Linked DNA regions of Sus scrofa. The protein of the gene in region 2 interacts with the protein of the main gene of each other region in a biochemical or structural test. Links are inferred from orthologs where the notes say so. Each region holds a gene or a part of one and is shown on either strand. Other genes may lie near its edges.

Region 1 (3,544 bases), on a different chromosome or scaffold from region 2:
TTATTTTATTTTATTTTTTGCTATTTCTTTGGGCCGCTTCCACGGCATATGGAGGTTCCCAGGCTAGGGTTCTAATCAGAGCCATAGCCGCCGGCCTACGCTAGAGCCACAGCAACTCGGGATCTGAGCCGCATCTGCAACCTACACCACAGCTCACGGCAACGCCGGCTCCTTAACCCACTGAGCAAGGGCAGGGATCGAACCTGCAACCTCATGGTTCCTAGTCGGATTCATTAACCGCTGCGCCACAATGGGAACTCCTGCTTTTATTTTATTTTTAATTTTTTAAAGTTTTATTGAAGTATAGTTAATTTATAAAGTAAAGCATACAACACTTCACTTCTGCTGTACAACAAAGTGACCCAGTTCTATACATATACACATATCCATTCTCTCTCACATTCTTTTCCCACATAGATTATCACAGAATACTGGCTAGAGTTCTCTGGGCCATGCAACAGGTCCCCGTTGGCTAATCATTCCATAGACCTCAGTGTGCCTATGCCCATCCCAAACCCCCAGTCCATCCCTCCCACCCCCCAACCTGTTCTCTTTGCTAACCATAAGTTTTTCAAAGTCTGTGCATCATCTCTTTCTGTTCTGCAAATAAGTTCACTTGTATCTTTTTTTTTTTTTTTGGCCCATTTTTAGGGCTGCACCCAAGGCATATGGAGGTTCCCAGGCTAAGGGTCGAATTGGAGCTGTAGCCACTGGCCTACGCCACAGCCACAGCAACTTGGGACCCGAGCCTCGTCTGCGATCTACACCACAGCTCACAGCAACACCAGATTCTTAACCCATTGAGAGAGGCCAGGGCTCAAACCCAAGTCGTCATGTATACTAGGTAGTTTCGTTAACCACTGAGCCACGATGGAAACGCCCTCATTTGTATCCTTTTTTAAAGATTCCACATATAGGTGATATCATGTGATGTTTGTCTTTTACTGTCTGACTAACTTCATTTAGTCTGATGGTTTCTAGGACCATCCATGTTGCTGCAAATGGCATTATTTCTTTCTTTTTTATGGCTGAATAATATTCCGTAGTATATATGTACCACATCTTCTTTATCCGTTTCTCTGTTGATGGACATTTAGGTTGCTTCCATGTCTTGGCTCTTGTAAATAGCACTGCAATGAATTTTGGGGTACATGTATCTTTTTGAATTATTTCCTTCTTTTTCTAAGGCTAGTATTCTGTTGTATATATGTACCACATCTTCTCTGTTTATCTGTTGATGGACGCGTAGGTTGTGTCCATACCTTGGCTATTGTGAAGAGTGCTGCAGTGAACATGGGATTGCAGATAGCTCTTTAAGCTACTGATTTCACTTCCATTGTGTGTATACCCAGACATTGCTAAATCATACGGTGGTTCTATTTTTAATTTTTAGAGGAACCTCCCTATTATTTTATGTAGTGGTTGCACCAATTTACATTCCTACCAACAGTGAACAAGGGTTCCCTTTTCTCCACATGCTCACTGGCATTTGTTATCATGTGTGTTTTTTATAAGCATCATCCTAATACAAATGAGGTGATATCTTTTTGTAGTTTTGATTTGCATTTCCCTGTGATTAGTGATGTCGAGCACTTTTTAATGTACCTGTTGGCCATCTGTACGTCTTCTTTTAAAAAGCGTGTGTTTAGGTCCTTTGTCCTTTTTTGAGTTGTTTGTTTTACTGTTGAGTTGTACAAGTTCCTTGTATATTTTGGATATTAACCTCTTATCAGATATAGATAAGGTTTGCAAACATTTTCTCCCTTTCTATAGGCTGTCTTTTCATTTTGTCGATGGTTTCCTTTACGTAGCAGAAGCTCTTTGGTTTGATGTAGTCCCATTGGTTTGTAATGAATAAGACATGGCCTCAGTCCCTATGGTATTTATAATCTGTTCAAGAAGGCAGAAATACAAACCGATTTTAGTAGTATTTTAAGATTCTGGGGAGTTCCCATTGTGGTGCAGTGGAAACAAATCCAACTAGTATCCATGAGGATAACACTTTGATCCCCAGCCTTGCTCAGTGGGTTAAGGATCCAGCATTGCTGTGAGCTGTGGTGTAGGTTGCAGATGTGACTTGGATCCGGTGTTACTATGGCTGTGGTATAGGCCAACAGCTGCAATTCTGATTCCACCCTTAGCCTGGGAACTTCCATATGCCATGGGTACAGCCCTAAAAAGCAAAAAGGAAAAAAAAAAAAAAAAAAGGAAAAAAAAGATTCTGTTCGAAAATAGTGCAACGTGGACCTCTTGTTTTGGGTTCACATTTACTTTTCCTTAAGACTTTCAATTATTGGTAGGTGGCGTTTTGACATTTTTTGATCTTAATTATTATTTTCAGGTATAAGAAAAGCACTACCTCCAGCACCAGCACCAGAAAAAAAGAAGGTAAAGTGGTCTTTAATGTTCAGAAGCATTTGCAGTTGATTAAGAACATTTATATTCATTTGTGTGATGCTGCCCCTCTGCAAAGATCGTATCAGAAATGGATAGACTGTGGCTTACTTGATTTTTATCTTGATGTCAAACTATATCATTTAATTGAATCAGATATTATCATTGGGGGCCCTCTTATCATCTGACAGTTTGATTGTATCTTAGATTCAAGAGTTGCATAAGATGTGTGGGACTTTAAAGGAATATTTCAATCTTAAGACCACAGTATTATGACAAGGGAGTGCAGTCAGTGATTTAATGATGTCCCTTTGAATAGTGAGCTATCGTGGAAAACACATGTGCTTTGGACTCAGAGAGAAGCTGGTTCAATGTAAATCTGATATGAGTGACTTTGGGTAGGTTACTTAAACCACTGTTTTTTCCGTTGTAAAGTGAGAGTTGCATACTCTACCTCATGGGATCGGAATTGAGAGTAAATGAGAAAAAGTGTGCTAGGTACTAAGAGTGTACCTTGCACATAGTAGGTGCAAAGAAGTGAAAATCCCTTTGTGCAGGAGGAGACCTGATGCAAGACTATGCCATAGTGCCCCTTTCCCCAGCTCTGGCCATTAAATGCTGGGGTTGCCTTGAGTCCTCCCAGTTTGTAGTCACATGTTACCCTTGCCTCTCCCTGGAAAACCTGCCCTGACACTGAGCAGAAGCCTCCTGATGTTTAAAGACAGCTTTTGCCCTTGTCCTATATTCTGAAACCCATGAGCAGCCCAGTAGCATCAACATCATTTAACTCATTGGGGGGGGGGGGGGGGATTCACCAGATTGTCTTAGACTCGATTCTCTGGTGATGTGCATATCAGTTAGTGTTTTACCTCGCATCTGATTTCAAACAGAAGACTAAATTCTCACATGGTATCTCCTATCCTTAGCGAAGGCCTCCCCCACCAATTCCACCCGAAGAAGATAATAGTGAAGAAATCGTGGTAGCCATGTATGACTTCCAAGCAACGGAAGCACATGATCTCAGATTAGAGAGAGGCCAGGAGTATATCATCCTAGAAAAGAATGATGTTCACTGGTGGAGAGCAAGAGATAAATATGGGTGAGTATTCCCTCTCTGTGGATGGTACACAGTGGATGGCCCAGAGTTCAA
Region 2 (4,180 bases):
TTTAATGAGAACAAAACTTTTTTAAAAATATATCTCTGGCAAAGAACAACGCAGGGAGAAGGATCCAGACACAGCCCAGTGTCTCCCTGTAGCCCATCCAGGCCCCTCAAACTGCATCTACTCAGACCAAACACCCCTTTCCAGAGACTTGGTCCACCAGCTATGCCTTCCTTTGGTGGGGATGACTTAGAGGTGCTGGCCTCCCCCAGATCCCATCCCCGAGGCCCTGCCACCTGTCCCACTTCCATCCATGACTTCGTGGGACAGATCTTTCCCTTGACTCCCTTTGTCCCCTGGTCTCACGCATGTCCCTCTGGTTCCTGCTGGTTTTAATAGGTTTCTTTGACCCCCAGTGCCACCTCCTGGCAGCACCCCCAGCCTCGCCCTCCTTCTCATGTTGAGTCCTCCGACTTGACCCCCATCTTGTCAGTCCCCACTCCAGAGAGCCCACAGTCCCAGCTCCCCGAGGCTCCACTCTTCTGGACCTGGCTGTATAGGGCAGTGTCTGAGCTGTGGCCTTTGCTGCCACTGCCAGTTGCAGCCCGAGCTTCAGAGAAGGCCGGGCCCTGGGGCTTGGGAGCTGGGAAGGGCTTTGTGTTCCGAGGGGGTGGCACAGCGTAGTCATCAGTGGCGGGATTGTAGGGGAGCTCATAGCCCTCCTCCTTCACCCGAGCCTGGCACCACCATGCATCCTTGGGCTCCTGAGGCAGATCGTAGAGGCCCCGGAGAGCAGCGGGGGCCAGGCCTTCAGGTTCATCGTAGATGGGGTCTTCTTTGGGATCTGTCAACTTGGTCTTCAGCAGCTGCTGCTGCACATGCTCATACAAGTCCCAATAGAGCGGTTTCTTCAACTGTGCCCCCTCCCCTGCCCGAGCAGGAGTGCTGTCCAGGGGGTCTGAGTAGAGGGAATCTCGGGAAGGGCGTGGAGGAACGCGCAGGGAGTCTAAGGGTTCAGCGTACACAGCTGGAGGGTTGCCTGGCAGTTCCTGGGGGCCGGGGGGAGAAGCCAACGTCCCCTCCGCCACTTCTCCTTCATGGGAATCAGCTCTGAGAACATCCTGCCCCTGGACAGCCTTTCCCTGGGCCTTCTGCCGGTGGATAGCATTCTCCACTGCCTGAAAGATGTCATTCCCCTGTGCTGTCTGAAAGGTGAAGGTTCCAGGGCCGGAGGGGCAGCGGCGACCAGCCTCAAAAGAGAACATGACCTGAAGAGGGGTGGGGAGGGAATCAGGGAATCATTACCCAGAGTCCTCAGGGGAGGTGGGTCACAGGGCTGTAACTAGTTAGGGGACCCACGGAGAGGAGACCACCTGGGAAGGGAGGTGGGGTCAAGGGCTAGGCCAGAAAGGGTTATCCAGAGGGCAGAACTTCCCACATTCCTGTCCTGCCTCACCCATCCCACAGCTGCCCTACCCAGGGAACCAGCCCTCCCTGACGGCAGCGCACCTTGTCGCGGCCATAGCGACGCAACAGGGTGTAGGGCCAGGAAAGGAGTGGCTCCAATATCTGACTCTGGGCCGCCACGGCCAGGAGAGTCAGCTTCTCAGCCTCCACTCTCAGCACATAGGAGCCATGCAGGCCACAGCGCTCGGCGGCTTCAGTCCTCTGCGCAGTTACCCAGAACTGGGATCCTGGAAGGGATACAGTTAGACTAGCACCTGCGGGAGTGGCTTGCGGGGAAGGGGCAGGTTGTCCAAGCACACGTTTGAAAGCCGGCTCTCAGGAGCTTCCTCCTTGCCTTTGTAGGAACCACTCCCTTCCCAAGGACATTCTTTCCACCCCATCCCTGCTGGGGCTTCTTGGGCAACTACCTTCCCAGGCGGGGCTATACAGCGAGTTCTCCAGCATCTCCAGGGCAGAAAGCTTGGGTGGGTTCTCAGCAGGCGCCAGAGCCCAGCTGCCTTTCTGGGGTAGAGAGAGAGAGGCTGTAATTCCCTTCGACACCGTTCCCAGGCTCGGGGCCGCCCAGTTCCTCTGCAGCTGTAACTGCTCCCACCCGACATCGCCTCCTGGGCCCCGGGCAGCTCGCCCCAGACCCTCACCAACACCCCGGCCCCCTCACCGGAAAGGCGTTTCGGCACAGCGTTTGCACCCAGGCGACGCTAGACGGCGCGTCCGCCGCCAGCAGGTGGGAGCGCTGTGCGGTGTCCAGGCGGAAGGCTGCGGCGCCAGGCTCAGGGGGGCTCTCCACGGCCACCGGGGCCACGCTCACACACTCTGCCAGACGGATCACCTTGCAGTCCAGGCGGCGCGAGCCCCCTCGGCCCCCTCCAGAGCTCGGCCCCTTGTGGTCGAAGAACTCGAGCCGCGCGACGCCGTGGGGGCTGGCCGGGTAGAGCACCGCCCAGGTCTTCCTCCATCTCTGGGGAGACAGAGAGCCGAGGGAAGCTGGGCAGGGACCCGGCAAGTACCCGCGGCCCGGGCCCGACGGGGAAGGAAGGACGCGACCCGAGCCCAGACGGGGAAGGAAGGACCCGCGCAGGCCCATTTCAGGTCTGTGGCTTCCCGACGGCGGGCGAAGTTCCCTAAGGAGGATGCCGCTCTGTCTCCCCAGGACCAGAGGCGGCGTACCCGGAGGCCGGCAGACGCTTCTCCCGAGTGTGTGCAAAACATTTCAGCGGGACCGTCACAGGATCTCTGGCTCCCGGCGCTCCGCTCTATCCCGCTGCCCACCTCCTCCCTCCTGGGCTCAGTCGCCCACCCCTAACTCTGATGGGGGGTTCGACAACCCCTGCCCAGACTACCTTGGTACCGAAACGCTGACTCTGCAAAAACAGCGGCCCTTCCATCACGGCCCCGTCCATGGCCCCCGGCGGTTCCTTCGGCGCTTCCTGGCCCCGCGGGCCCCAGGCGGGGCCGGGCGGAGGGCGGGGCGGGGCGGGGCGGGGCCCGCGGGAGGCGTTCCCGCTCCTCCCCGACCTCCTAGGACCGCGAAAGGGAGGAAGGAGAGGAGCAAGAAGGAAGGGGAGGGGGTACCAGAGAAGCTGCACGGTGCACCACCTCCAGGCCCCTACCCCTATTCCTGGGTGGCTCTACCAAGTGGCTCTCTCAAGAGAAAACTCGTGGTTTCCATCAGAAAGTTCTGGCACCTGGGCTTGGGGACTGTGCGACCTCAGATGCTCAACTTGACTTCGGAATGAAGGCCGTGAAATCACCTCGAAAAATGCCAAAGGGCACACTGGGGCACCGGAGTAACCACGTGGGCCCTCGTGGCCACAATTCCTCCGATGGGACCCATCTCCAGCTAGGTCCGAGATGTGCTGTTTACGACCGGCAGAGCTGGGGATGTGGGGAAGGGCTGGGGACTGGAAGACTTCCCGGAGCGGAGATCCCCGCACGGCACGCAGCCCGCGACGGCCTGCGGCCCCGCGGCCCCTCATGTGCCCAGCTCTCCCGGCCGCAGCTGCCCAGCATCCAACCCCCGGGAAAAGAAAGCTTTATTAAACAGACTGGGAGGGGCGGGGAGGAGGGCGGGAGGGAGGTGGAGCAACAGCAGCGGCCAGCTCTCCAAGGAGGAGGGGGAGAGAAGAGGAGGGAACTGGCCTGCGAGGGATCAAGGGAGAAGGCGGAATGTGGGAGGGCCCAGGGGGACTTGGGAGGAACGAAAGGAGAGGGGGGAGAAAAGGGGGGGATCCAGTCTCCCCTGGCAGAGCACTTTTTTTGGAAGTCCTAGGACTGATCTCCAGGACCAGGACTCTTCTCCCAGCCGCTAGAGCCCCGCTCAGGCCAAGGTAGGGGGAGTCAGGCTGCCGGCAGGATGAAGGGGAGTTGCGGATGGAGAGGATGGTGGAAGGAGCAGGGGAAAGGCGTGATGTGGGATAGAATCAAAGGGAAGCCAACCTACTGAGGGCTCTATTTTTGTCAAAGAAGAGGAAGGCAGGAGGAAAGTGGAGAAAGGAAGCAGGTATTGGGGGGTGGGGTACAGGGTGTTCCAAATAGGGCAGCCGGGAGGGCCCTGAGGCTGGGGGCTCCTCTGTGAGGCCCCATCCCTGGGTCCCCAAGCCAAGATGTGCCCGAACAAAGCTGTCTTGTTGGGTTGTTTGTCTGAGTTGGGGGAAGCATGTTGGGGGTGGGGGGAGCTCCCTGTAGAGGGGCTGTTCTCCGCTCCACACGGAAGGAAAGGCCTTGGCTGAGAAACTGATTGGTGCCCTCGCCTCCGGTTGCCCGGTGATGGCGGTGG
Region 3 (2,250 bases), on a different chromosome or scaffold from region 2:
AAAGCACACTGTTGAGAGTCAGGTGACCAGCTGTGCAGACGTTATATGATGATAAGTTTACCATTGTGAAGATGGCTCTGGAGAATGGAGAATTTTAGAATATTTTAGAAAAGGCCTTTTAAAAAAAAAATCACATGGGAAAAGAAGTCCAAATTTAGGAAAAAGCAGAAAATTTCATCCCTCTCCCAGGTACCCAACACCCAGGCAGCACATATAAAATTAAATTACAATGGTGCCCACTAAGCCTCTTTGAAAACAAATCCTGTTTGGCCCTTAGAAAGGGATGGCCGGGTGTGCAGGCCATCAAGTCTTCAGTTCTCTAATCTGAAAACACCTGAGGGATGGAGACAGAATTTGCACAAATTTTTTTTTTTTTTTTTTTTTTTTTTTTTTTTTAGGGCTGCACAACGGCATATGGAGTTTCCCAGGCTAGGGGTCAAATCGGAGCTACAGCCGCCAGCCAGACCATAGCTCAGGACAATGCTGGATCCTTAACCCACTGAGTGAGGCCAGGGATTGAACCCGCATCCTCATGGAGGCTAGTCAGGTTTGTTTCTATTGCACCACAATGGGAACTCCCAGAACTTGTACAAATTTTTTTCAGTGATGTAACTAGTGGAATCACCCCCTAATTGGTACTCATTTTGACATAGATAACCATTGGAAATACTCAACACCAATGAGAAGCTTGAGATGTTATTGGGCCAGGTGTATTAAAATAAAATCAAAAATAGAAATATTAGGTATATACACAAAGCATAAGTGGAACATGTGACAGAGCATCTCCATTCAAAGCTTAGAGTAGAAAAATGTAATAGAAAAACCTCTCGTGGTCCCTGCTCCAGGGGCTCGGTAACGAGCCCCCTACTCATTTCTTTCCCTTCATTTCCTCATATAAATAGTCTCACATACACGTCACACAATTTAGAAAAGATTGCTGAATCACAAAAGTGCCCCCAAATATGGCACGTTGACTTTCTAGAGTATGACTAAAATTAATATTTGATCATTAAAATAATGTTCAAAATCACTGGAAGCAATAAAGAAAATGCTCATGTTTTGTAAGGTCCTAGAATGTTCTGCAGGGATTAAAATTTTCCAAACTACATGGTCCAAAAAAGTCCATATACGGAAAAGTGTGGAATTGAAAAGCTGGACCTTTAAAAATCTTTCTTCTTAACGGCCGAGTAGTTTCTGCAGCTCTTTTCCGGGACAGGGTCATGGGGGTCTGGGCAGAGGCCCCAGTGGCTTGGGGTGGGGGGTGGGGGCGCCCGTGTCACTTAGCACGGCAGCCCTGCCCACTTGCAGAGGACGCTTCTTCCCGGCTGGGGTTCCAGGCTGGTCTCTGCCATGGGCAACGTTTAACAGTCTCGGACTGAGATCTGGGAAAGACACCAAAGCTCCGGACGTCACTTTTGCAAACTCTAACAGAGATTAGTAATTTTTTGTTTTTAACACATAAGCTAAAGCACAGAGAAAATACAAAAAAGTGTCATAAAAGGTATCAGGTTATTTGATGCTGATCAGTGAGTTTAGTTCTCTCCTAACGGGGGTTTACTGGACGGGTCTCTGAACCTGGGTGGGGGCACAGCCTCTTGTCAACAAGAGCTGACCGGGGCGCCCTTGGGTGGGTCTGGTGCTTTCTCCTCAGAAGCCTGTGCCCAGATGTGGGTCCAGCCGAGCCAGTCTGCTCTCGGGGGGCACCCTGGCAGGCCCTGGCCCGAGAGGAGAATCCTTTCCCGTGGAGAGAGTTCTTCCTGAGTAGCTTCACCTCACGTGCGGGAAGCAGGGACGGCAGGTGCCCCCAGCTCAGGAAATGAACCGAGGACCAGGGGCTGCTCTCTGTTCCTGGTGGAGGAGGCCGCCATCCCGGGAGTGGCCGAGTCCCCGCGCTAGGGCTGCTGCTGGTACTGGCCCTCGGTGGCCGTGTAGAAGTCGTCCAGGACGCTCTGCAGGTAGTCGAAGGTGGGCCTCTCCTCCGCCTTCTCTTTCCAGCACATCTTCATGATGTCATAGAGCTCATCGGGGCAGTTCTCCATACGGGGCATCCTGTAGCCCTGCGACAGGGCGGCCATCACGTCCGCGTTAGTTCTCCCTGAGGCAGAGAAACCCACGGCGTTTAGAGAGCTGCCCGAGCTCCGCGAGGCCTGGTACCCGCACCCTGCATCCAGCCTGGATGCGCTCTGGAGACTGCTGTGGGCTGACTGTGTTCCCGCCGCCCCCTCCCCTGCCGTCCTCGCCCCCAGGAGC
Region 4 (3,544 bases), on a different chromosome or scaffold from region 2:
CTCGAAATAGAGTAGTGGCTTCATCTACATAAATATATTAAAAGATTGTTTGTAAAGGATTGTATTAATGTGAACCAAATTGAAAATTAAATCAATTCATTTTTCCTCAACCAATTATCATTTAAACATGCTTATTTGCAATCAGCAATAAAGTATTGATTATACTGACATTCTATATTTCTATAAACATAATTCTTTAAAAGATCATAATTTATCCTTAATTCTTAATTAAATCTTAAATAATGAATTAAGATAAAGAATTAATTCTTGGAGTTCCCATCGTGGCTCAGAGGAATGAATCTGACTAGCACCCATGAGGACACAGGTTCAATCCCTGGCCTCAGTCAGTGGGTTAAGGATCTGGCAATTCCATGAGCTATGGTTTAGGTAGTAGATGCAGTTCGGATCCCACGTTGCTGTGGCTGTGGTGTAGGCCAGCGGCTATAGCTCTGATTTGACCCTTAGCCTGGGAACCTCTATATGCCACGGGTCCGGCCCTAAAAAGACAATAAATAAATAAATAAATAAATAAATTCTTAATCTTCATTAGATCATAAACAGGAGAGGAATTAACACTGCCATGTTCATATCACAAAACAAAGAGTTGGAGTTCCTGTTGTCGCTCAGTGGGTTAAGAATCAGACCTGTATCCATGAGGATGCAGTTTCCATCCCTGACCTTGCTCAGTGGTTTAAGGATCTGGTGTTGCCGCAAGCTGTAGAGTGGGTCACAGATGTGGCTCAGATCCTGTGTTGCCCTGGCTGTGGCTCAGGCCAGCACCTGCAGCTCCAATTTGACCCCTAGCCTAGGAACTTCCATATACTACTGCAGGTGCGGCCCTAAAAAGTTATAAAAAATAAAATCTCTAAGTTAATCTTAAAAAAAAAAGAAAAAACCAAAAACTTTTGAAAGTGATATAACTTATCATCTAGGACTAAAGAACCAAATAGTGACAAAACTTAGCGCCAGAATGTAGCTTTTTCTTTCTACTGAGCTCATGCTTTAAAAAAAATCTGAGCTAATTTCCAAGCAAGAATGCACAATAAAATCCCAGTATAAATTAACTTATTAGCCTAAGCATAGCTATTAATGACATTAGTAAAATCCTAAAAAATGCAAGTATTACCAGAAAAGACAATCTTAATGCAAAACATGTACCACCACTTTATCTTTCCTGACAAATATATATATTTTTACATTTTTTTATGACTAGGAGGAAATAGTTCTGGGTATTACAGTTTATTTGGGGAATCCAGAAGCAAGGACTATTACTGAGTCAAAGTGCTGGTTGTAAATCCCTTTTTATAACATATTTATAAGCTGTTACAAAGATCGTGTCCAGCTATACTGCCTAGAACTACCTATCATAGAAGCTAGAAATAAAATGCAGACACCTAACTTGTACAATGAATTTTTAAATGAAAAATAAACAAGAGAATATGGAAATAGCCAAACTTCTTAATAATCAAGCACTGTGAACCATTGATCTGGACATGGAAGTCACTTTCTTATAGCACCTAATACTAATTTGCCATGACAGAAACTTGTATTTGAAATACTAACAGCAGTTCCTGTGGTGGCTCAGTAGTTAACGAATCTGACTAGGAACCATGAGGTTGTGGGTTCGATCCCTGGCCTCGCTCAGTGGGTTAAGGATCTGGTGTTGCCGTGAGCTGTGGAGTACGTCACAGACGCGGCTCGTATCCCACGTCGCTGTGGCTCTGGCATAGGCCGGCAGCTACAGCTCCAATTAGACCCCTAGCCTGGAAACCTCCATATTCTGAGGGTGTAGCCCTAGAAAAGACAAAAAAGAAAAAGAAATAATAGCTGCTCCCCATTAGCCAGCATAAAGAATCAGAAATGACATTCCAACTGTAATTTTTAAAGAAGGAAAAACAGTAACTTACTTTGTAAGATAATTTAACTATTTAATATAGTCTAAGATGGAGTCTGTATATACTTGATATATATAAAACCTATTAATCCAATTTTTAAAAGTATCACAGAAACACATCCATACTATACCTTCCATGCTTATTTCTCTGTCATTTAGTGTACATAACAACAAGGATTCAAGCTTTTCATGAAGAAAAATCCTCAGTAGGATGCTAGCCAGTAGTGTTCGATCCTGTCCACATACATGTGATAAAGCATTGACTACATGAAGCTCCTTTTGCAGTATAAGCTAAAAATGACATCAGGAAAAATAATTGAAAGTAAGAGAGCATTAAGCATTCTCAGATTAACAGGAAATTATGTTTTTATACATTCTTATATTTAGGAATATGTTCTATTGAATAAATGTATTAAAAATAGAATGAGTTTGTAAGCTACATATTTATAGTCTCTTAAGACCAATAGCATACTGCTGCACGGCTTTTTAACCTTCTCTGCCTGTCAGTGTGCCATTAAACTATGAAATTACTACATTTAACTCAATGGATCTTTCATTAAAAGTATTTCTTGCTAATGCCATTAAAAACAATTAGACTAGTAAATAACTTTAATACCTCTTTAAATTCGCTGTATTCTTCTTCTGGCATGATTTTTTCCATAGAATATCGTGCTCGGACACGCAGAGATCCTGGTTCAATACCTTTTAATGGTATATGGGAGCTGAGCAAAAACCATTCATCTGTGGCATGCCCTTTCTGTAACCGGCTCAATTGGCAGCGCATAAATACTTTGATAGAAAAACATGAAATGATTACTGTCTAAAAAGATGACACCGTAATTAGTCACGCAAATTTTCCTAACATTCCATCTTCTCAATAATGTTAAATGCTTTCCGTTAAAGGGGTTTCCAATAATATGATAAATTCAGTACTTAATGTTTACTTCATTCATTTACCGAATGCCTATTATGTGCCATAGTCTCTGAGAGGCAGGGATGTGGGATACAGACTTTATTAAAACACACTCTCTGACTTATATGGAAATCAGAGTCTAGCCAAGGAGGCAAGAAATCAATTACAATGTGAGAAGGGCTATTAACAATGGTTAATGTGAATGAAGTACAGAGAAATAATATCTAATTCAGCCTGTGGAGGCTAAAACCCCTTTCACACAGGTACCCCTCAGGTTGACTTACAACAGGATCTGGAGATAAAGCTAAGTAGAAATGTACTGGAAAAAAGAGAGTATGTGCATAATCTGAATAGATGGTATTGTGGATGCTTTTATCCATGGACTAGGAGTTCCCATTGCGGTTCAGCGGTAAAGAATCTGACTAGCATCTATGAGGAAACGGATTCAATCCCTGGCCTTGCTCGGTGGGTTAAGGGTCCGGCATTGCCATGAGCTGTGGCATACAGATCGCATATGCAGCCCAGATTTGGTGTTGCTCTGGCTGTGGCGTAGACTGGCAGAGGCAGCTCCAATTTGACTCCTAGCCTGGGAACCTCCATATGCCAAAGGTTTGGCCCTAAAAAGACAAAAACAAAAAAACAAAAACCATGAACTATTCAAGAGCTGTAAGAAAGCTGGTATAGAATCTGGAAAAGGATAGATGTGTGCATATGTATAACTGAATCACTTGTCCAGC
Region 5 (3,544 bases), on a different chromosome or scaffold from region 2:
TTCGTTAACCACTGCGCCACGACGGGAACTCCCAATTCCCTCAACTTTAAAACATTAACAGAGGTACATGATGACAAAGCTGGGCATCATGGGGGTCTACAGACTCTGCTGTGGCTAGACACCCCACAGCCCTGCCCTGTCCCTTCCCCTTCCCCCGGGTGTGGTCCGTCAGAGCATCCCCAAGGAGCTGCTACCCACCCAGGCGCCTGGTCCACCTCGGGCGTGTCCATTCATTGGCCTGACGGGAACCCAGACCTCCCAATTTCCTTTCCTGTCGGGGCTGAATCGGAGCGGCCTAACCCAGCGTCACGCCTGGCGCAAAGGAAGCATCGGACCCACACTTTCGAATGCTGTTCCTGGTAACATCCTAGGACCCTCCCGAACGGCTCCCACGCCCTCGCCGTGGGTCTAGGGAGCAGCCCCAGAAGGAGCCTCCTCTCAGACGAGAGGACACCAGCTCTGCCACAGGTGTCTCCTGGCTCTGTCAGTTCCAGGGAGCTTCTCGCTTTGCTGCTTTCGCAACAAGCTGCTCTTTGTTTGGTTCAGTATTTATTATTGCTGCATCTGCTCTGAAAGAGCAGCCACCAATGCTGTGACTAACACATGAAAGGGTGTGTTCGCTCTTAGTATGTTTCATAAGCACCTCTGCCTGTGTGACTAGACTAACAGCCACAGCCAGTGGCTCCTGAATGATTTGCAGAGGGAGCGCTTTACTGTGGGAGAAGAAGGATCTTCCTCTTTTTGAAGCTGGGCCACTAACGTGGGGTCCACTTGCCCTTCTGTGCAGGTTCCGCTCCCTGCTTCCCATCTGCCTGCACCGGCACCCGGCTCCGGGGCCAGCTGCCCTGGGCTCTGGCGGGGGTGGGGACATACCCGTCTCTCCCGGGCCCTTGGAGTGGGGCGTCTCGGGCACGTCTGGGGCGTCTTTGTGTTCGGCGGCTCTCCTGGCGGTCCTGGTCTTGGTGGGCAGTTCCGGGGCCTGCAGCAGAGGGCTCGCGGCCCCTCGCATGCCTTTCTTCCCCAGCTCCTTTTCCACTTCTAAGAACCACCGAAAAATCAATAACAAAACCAGGAGTCATCAGTATTGATGTCCTTTTGGTATGCTGGTTTTCCTTTTCTTTTTAAGACAGCAGTAGTCATCTATACACAGTTACAGAGAAGAGACACACATCCCGAAAAAGCAGCACCGGAGCAGACTTCAGAGTCCTGGCTGCCAAAGACAGAGGGCCACACTCAGCAGCTTGACCGCTGGCCCGTGCTCTCGACCAGGAGGGACTGAAGGACCGGGCTGGAGTCCCGCCCGGCCCTCCCTCCCACCCCACCCTCTCCCCCCACTGCAGGCACCCCAAGGACGGGCACATTACCATCTGATATGCTGGATTCCTGGAACATTGTTTCAAAGGCTTGGTGGATTTCCGCAAAGGAGGGCCGGTCAGAGGGATTCCACTGCCAACCTAGACAGATGAGACCCAAGCCGGACCACCCGTGAGGCTTTGCGAACAAGAGGAAGACTAGCAATCCTCAAGGCAAAGTCGAGAAACTGAAGAAGCATTCCGGTCCCGCTGGCCATCTTGTGCTGTGACAAGTTAAAGTGACGACTGCCACTGAGTCCTATTACAGACCCCGGGAATCTGAGACGACGTTGGGTACGGGCGGGAATGCGGATTATAACACAGGACAGCAACAAGTACATTTACAAAGATGTTTTTCCCAACCCGCCTCTAGCAAGTGCAGAGAATCACTAAACCAAATAGCTTGCTTCCTGTCCTAACCTTTCCTCGCAGTCACCAAAGTCTGAATTCCTCATCAGTAAAGACATGCTCCTTAAAACAAGACGAAAAGGAGATTAAGGACCGACGCAGCCCAGTGTAGGCGAGGCTGTAGCGTCCCCCTTACAGACTTCTGTTGGGAGTATAAACTAATATAACCTTTTTTACAAAACAATTTGGTAACACCTATCAACATTTTAAAATGCACAGAGCCCCCTGAACTACAGGTTCAACTTCTGCAAGACACCAGAATGCGCAGAGGCATACGTATCTACGAGGGAACTGGTTCCTGCCTTGTCCGTAAGAGCAAAAAACAAACAAATGTATACAGCAAACACATGTCCATCAAAGGAGGATGGGATGAATGAATAAATTACGCAATAGGTGCTGGGCAGCTACGTGAAGATAAGAGTGGGTGAAGGAGAAGGGGAAGAGCACGGGAAATCATGGGCGTGGAAAGAGACGCCCGCTACACTGCCAAGTGCAAAAAGGCTGAAGAAGTGAGTTTTTATCATACATACACACATATACGTACACATAAATACATCAAAAGCCGAGTGGACAGGAGTCCCCATTGTGGCTCCATGGAAATGAACCCGACTGGTATCCATGAGGATATGGGTTCAATCCCTGACCCCGCTCAGTGGGTTAAGGATCTGGCATTGCCATGAGCTGTGGTGTAGGTCGCAGACACGGCTAGGATCCCATGTTGCTGTGGCTGTGGTGTAGGCCGGAAGCTACAGCTCAGATTCAAACCCCCAGCTTGGGAACCTCCATGTGCCAGAGGTGTGGCCCTAAAAAGACCAAAAAAAAAAAAAGTTGAAGGAATGAATTTTTATATATACATACACACATATATATACATATTAATAAATTAAAAACTGAGTGGACAGGAGTTCACATTGTGGCTCAGTGGAAATGAACCTGACTGGTATCCATGAGGATATGGGTTCAATCCCTGACCCCGCTCAGTGGGTTAAGGAGCCGGCACTGCTGTGAGCTGTGGTATAGGTTGTAGATGCAGCTCGGATCTGGCATTGTGTGGCTGAGGTGCAGGCTGGCAGCTGTAGCTCTGACTTGACCCCTAACCTGGGAATTTCCGTGGGCCTCACTTGAGGCCCTAAAATAAATTAAACCACCACCAAAACCGAGTGGATGAAAATCACCTGGAATATTTACCTACTATACCAGCAATTTATATTTATTAATAAGAAACCCAGGTTTGGTATCCATCCACGTCACTTTTGCATTAAGAACAAACAAAAGACCCTCACATATAAATACTATGTAAAACTAAAGGTGCACAGACACACTGGAAAAGGTACAATGCTATGCGCCAAACTGTCACACGAGTTGTTTCTGAAGGAGGGAAGGAGAGGAAGCAAGCGAGCGCTTTGGCCTCGCCCTGCCCGGGTCTCCTCAACGCCCCCCGACCTGGGGAAGTCCCACGCTTCCCTTCCCAAAGGGAGGCTCACATGCTCGCATGAGTTCGTAGACCTTCTCCGGGCAGCCTTCCGGGCGCTCCATGCGGTAGTCTTTCTCTAGCAGCTCATACACCTGGGACAGGTCAATTCCTGGGTAAGGTGACATGCCGTAGGTGGCAATTTCCCAAAGCAAGACTCCAAACGCTAAAAGACAAAGAGCAAGAGCAAGACAGCTCAAGATGTGGGAGCTTTAACCACCGTGCACTGGAAAGCAGGAAACCGCGCCGCAGACGTCAGAAGCCACGCCCTCAGAAGCAGGCCAGGCACGGACACTTCACGAGGCTCTACCTC

What was found.
Region 1: of the proteins of DOK1 (region 2) and TEC, one has a biochemical effect on the other in vitro, tested with the Homo sapiens proteins (2 studies listed by BioGRID, with this or other methods). The link is inferred for Sus scrofa from reciprocal best matches to the Homo sapiens genes DOK1 and TEC.
Region 3: of the proteins of DOK1 (region 2) and LYN, one has a biochemical effect on the other in vitro, tested with the Homo sapiens proteins (2 studies listed by BioGRID, with this or other methods). The link is inferred for Sus scrofa from reciprocal best matches to the Homo sapiens genes DOK1 and LYN.
Region 4: the proteins of DOK1 (region 2) and RASA1 form a complex in vitro, tested with the Homo sapiens proteins (2 studies listed by BioGRID, with this or other methods). The link is inferred for Sus scrofa from reciprocal best matches to the Homo sapiens genes DOK1 and RASA1.
Region 5: the proteins of DOK1 (region 2) and ABL1 form a complex in vitro, tested with the Homo sapiens proteins (5 studies listed by BioGRID, with this or other methods). The link is inferred for Sus scrofa from reciprocal best matches to the Homo sapiens genes DOK1 and ABL1.

The regions. Positions count from the first base shown.
Region 1 is NC_010450.4:38,078,871-38,082,414, reverse strand, and holds part of TEC (tyrosine-protein kinase Tec), read left to right. Parts: intron 1-2,341; coding exon 2,342-2,388; intron 2,389-3,320; coding exon 3,321-3,493; intron 3,494-3,544.
Region 2 is NC_010445.4:68,494,534-68,498,713, forward strand, and holds the start of DOK1 (docking protein 1), read right to left. Parts: upstream 2,842-4,180; 5' UTR 2,805-2,841; coding exon 2,745-2,804; intron 2,363-2,744; coding exon 2,063-2,362; intron 1,906-2,062; coding exon 1,812-1,905; intron 1,632-1,811; coding exon 1,447-1,631; intron 1,206-1,446; coding exon 393-1,205; 3' UTR 1-392. UniProt on the Homo sapiens protein: DOK proteins are enzymatically inert adaptor or scaffolding proteins. They provide a docking platform for the assembly of multimolecular signaling complexes. DOK1 appears to be a negative regulator of the insulin signaling pathway.
Region 3 is NC_010446.5:75,794,978-75,797,227, forward strand, and holds part of LYN (tyrosine-protein kinase Lyn), read right to left. Parts: intron 2,096-2,250; coding exon 1,893-2,095; 3' UTR 1-1,892. UniProt on the Homo sapiens protein: Non-receptor tyrosine-protein kinase that transmits signals from cell surface receptors and plays an important role in the regulation of innate and adaptive immune responses, hematopoiesis, responses to growth factors and cytokines, integrin signaling, but also responses to DNA damage and genotoxic agents.
Region 4 is NC_010444.4:94,973,572-94,977,115, reverse strand, and holds part of RASA1 (ras GTPase-activating protein 1), read right to left. Parts: intron 2,684-3,544; coding exon 2,511-2,683; intron 2,186-2,510; coding exon 2,026-2,185; intron 25-2,025; coding exon 1-24. UniProt on the Homo sapiens protein: Inhibitory regulator of the Ras-cyclic AMP pathway. Stimulates the GTPase of normal but not oncogenic Ras p21; this stimulation may be further increased in the presence of NCK1.
Region 5 is NC_010443.5:270,897,598-270,901,141, reverse strand, and holds part of ABL1 (tyrosine-protein kinase ABL1), read right to left. Parts: intron 3,398-3,544; coding exon 3,245-3,397; intron 1,455-3,244; coding exon 1,365-1,454; intron 1,039-1,364; coding exon 874-1,038; intron 1-873. UniProt on the Homo sapiens protein: Non-receptor tyrosine-protein kinase that plays a role in many key processes linked to cell growth and survival such as cytoskeleton remodeling in response to extracellular stimuli, cell motility and adhesion, receptor endocytosis, autophagy, DNA damage response and apoptosis.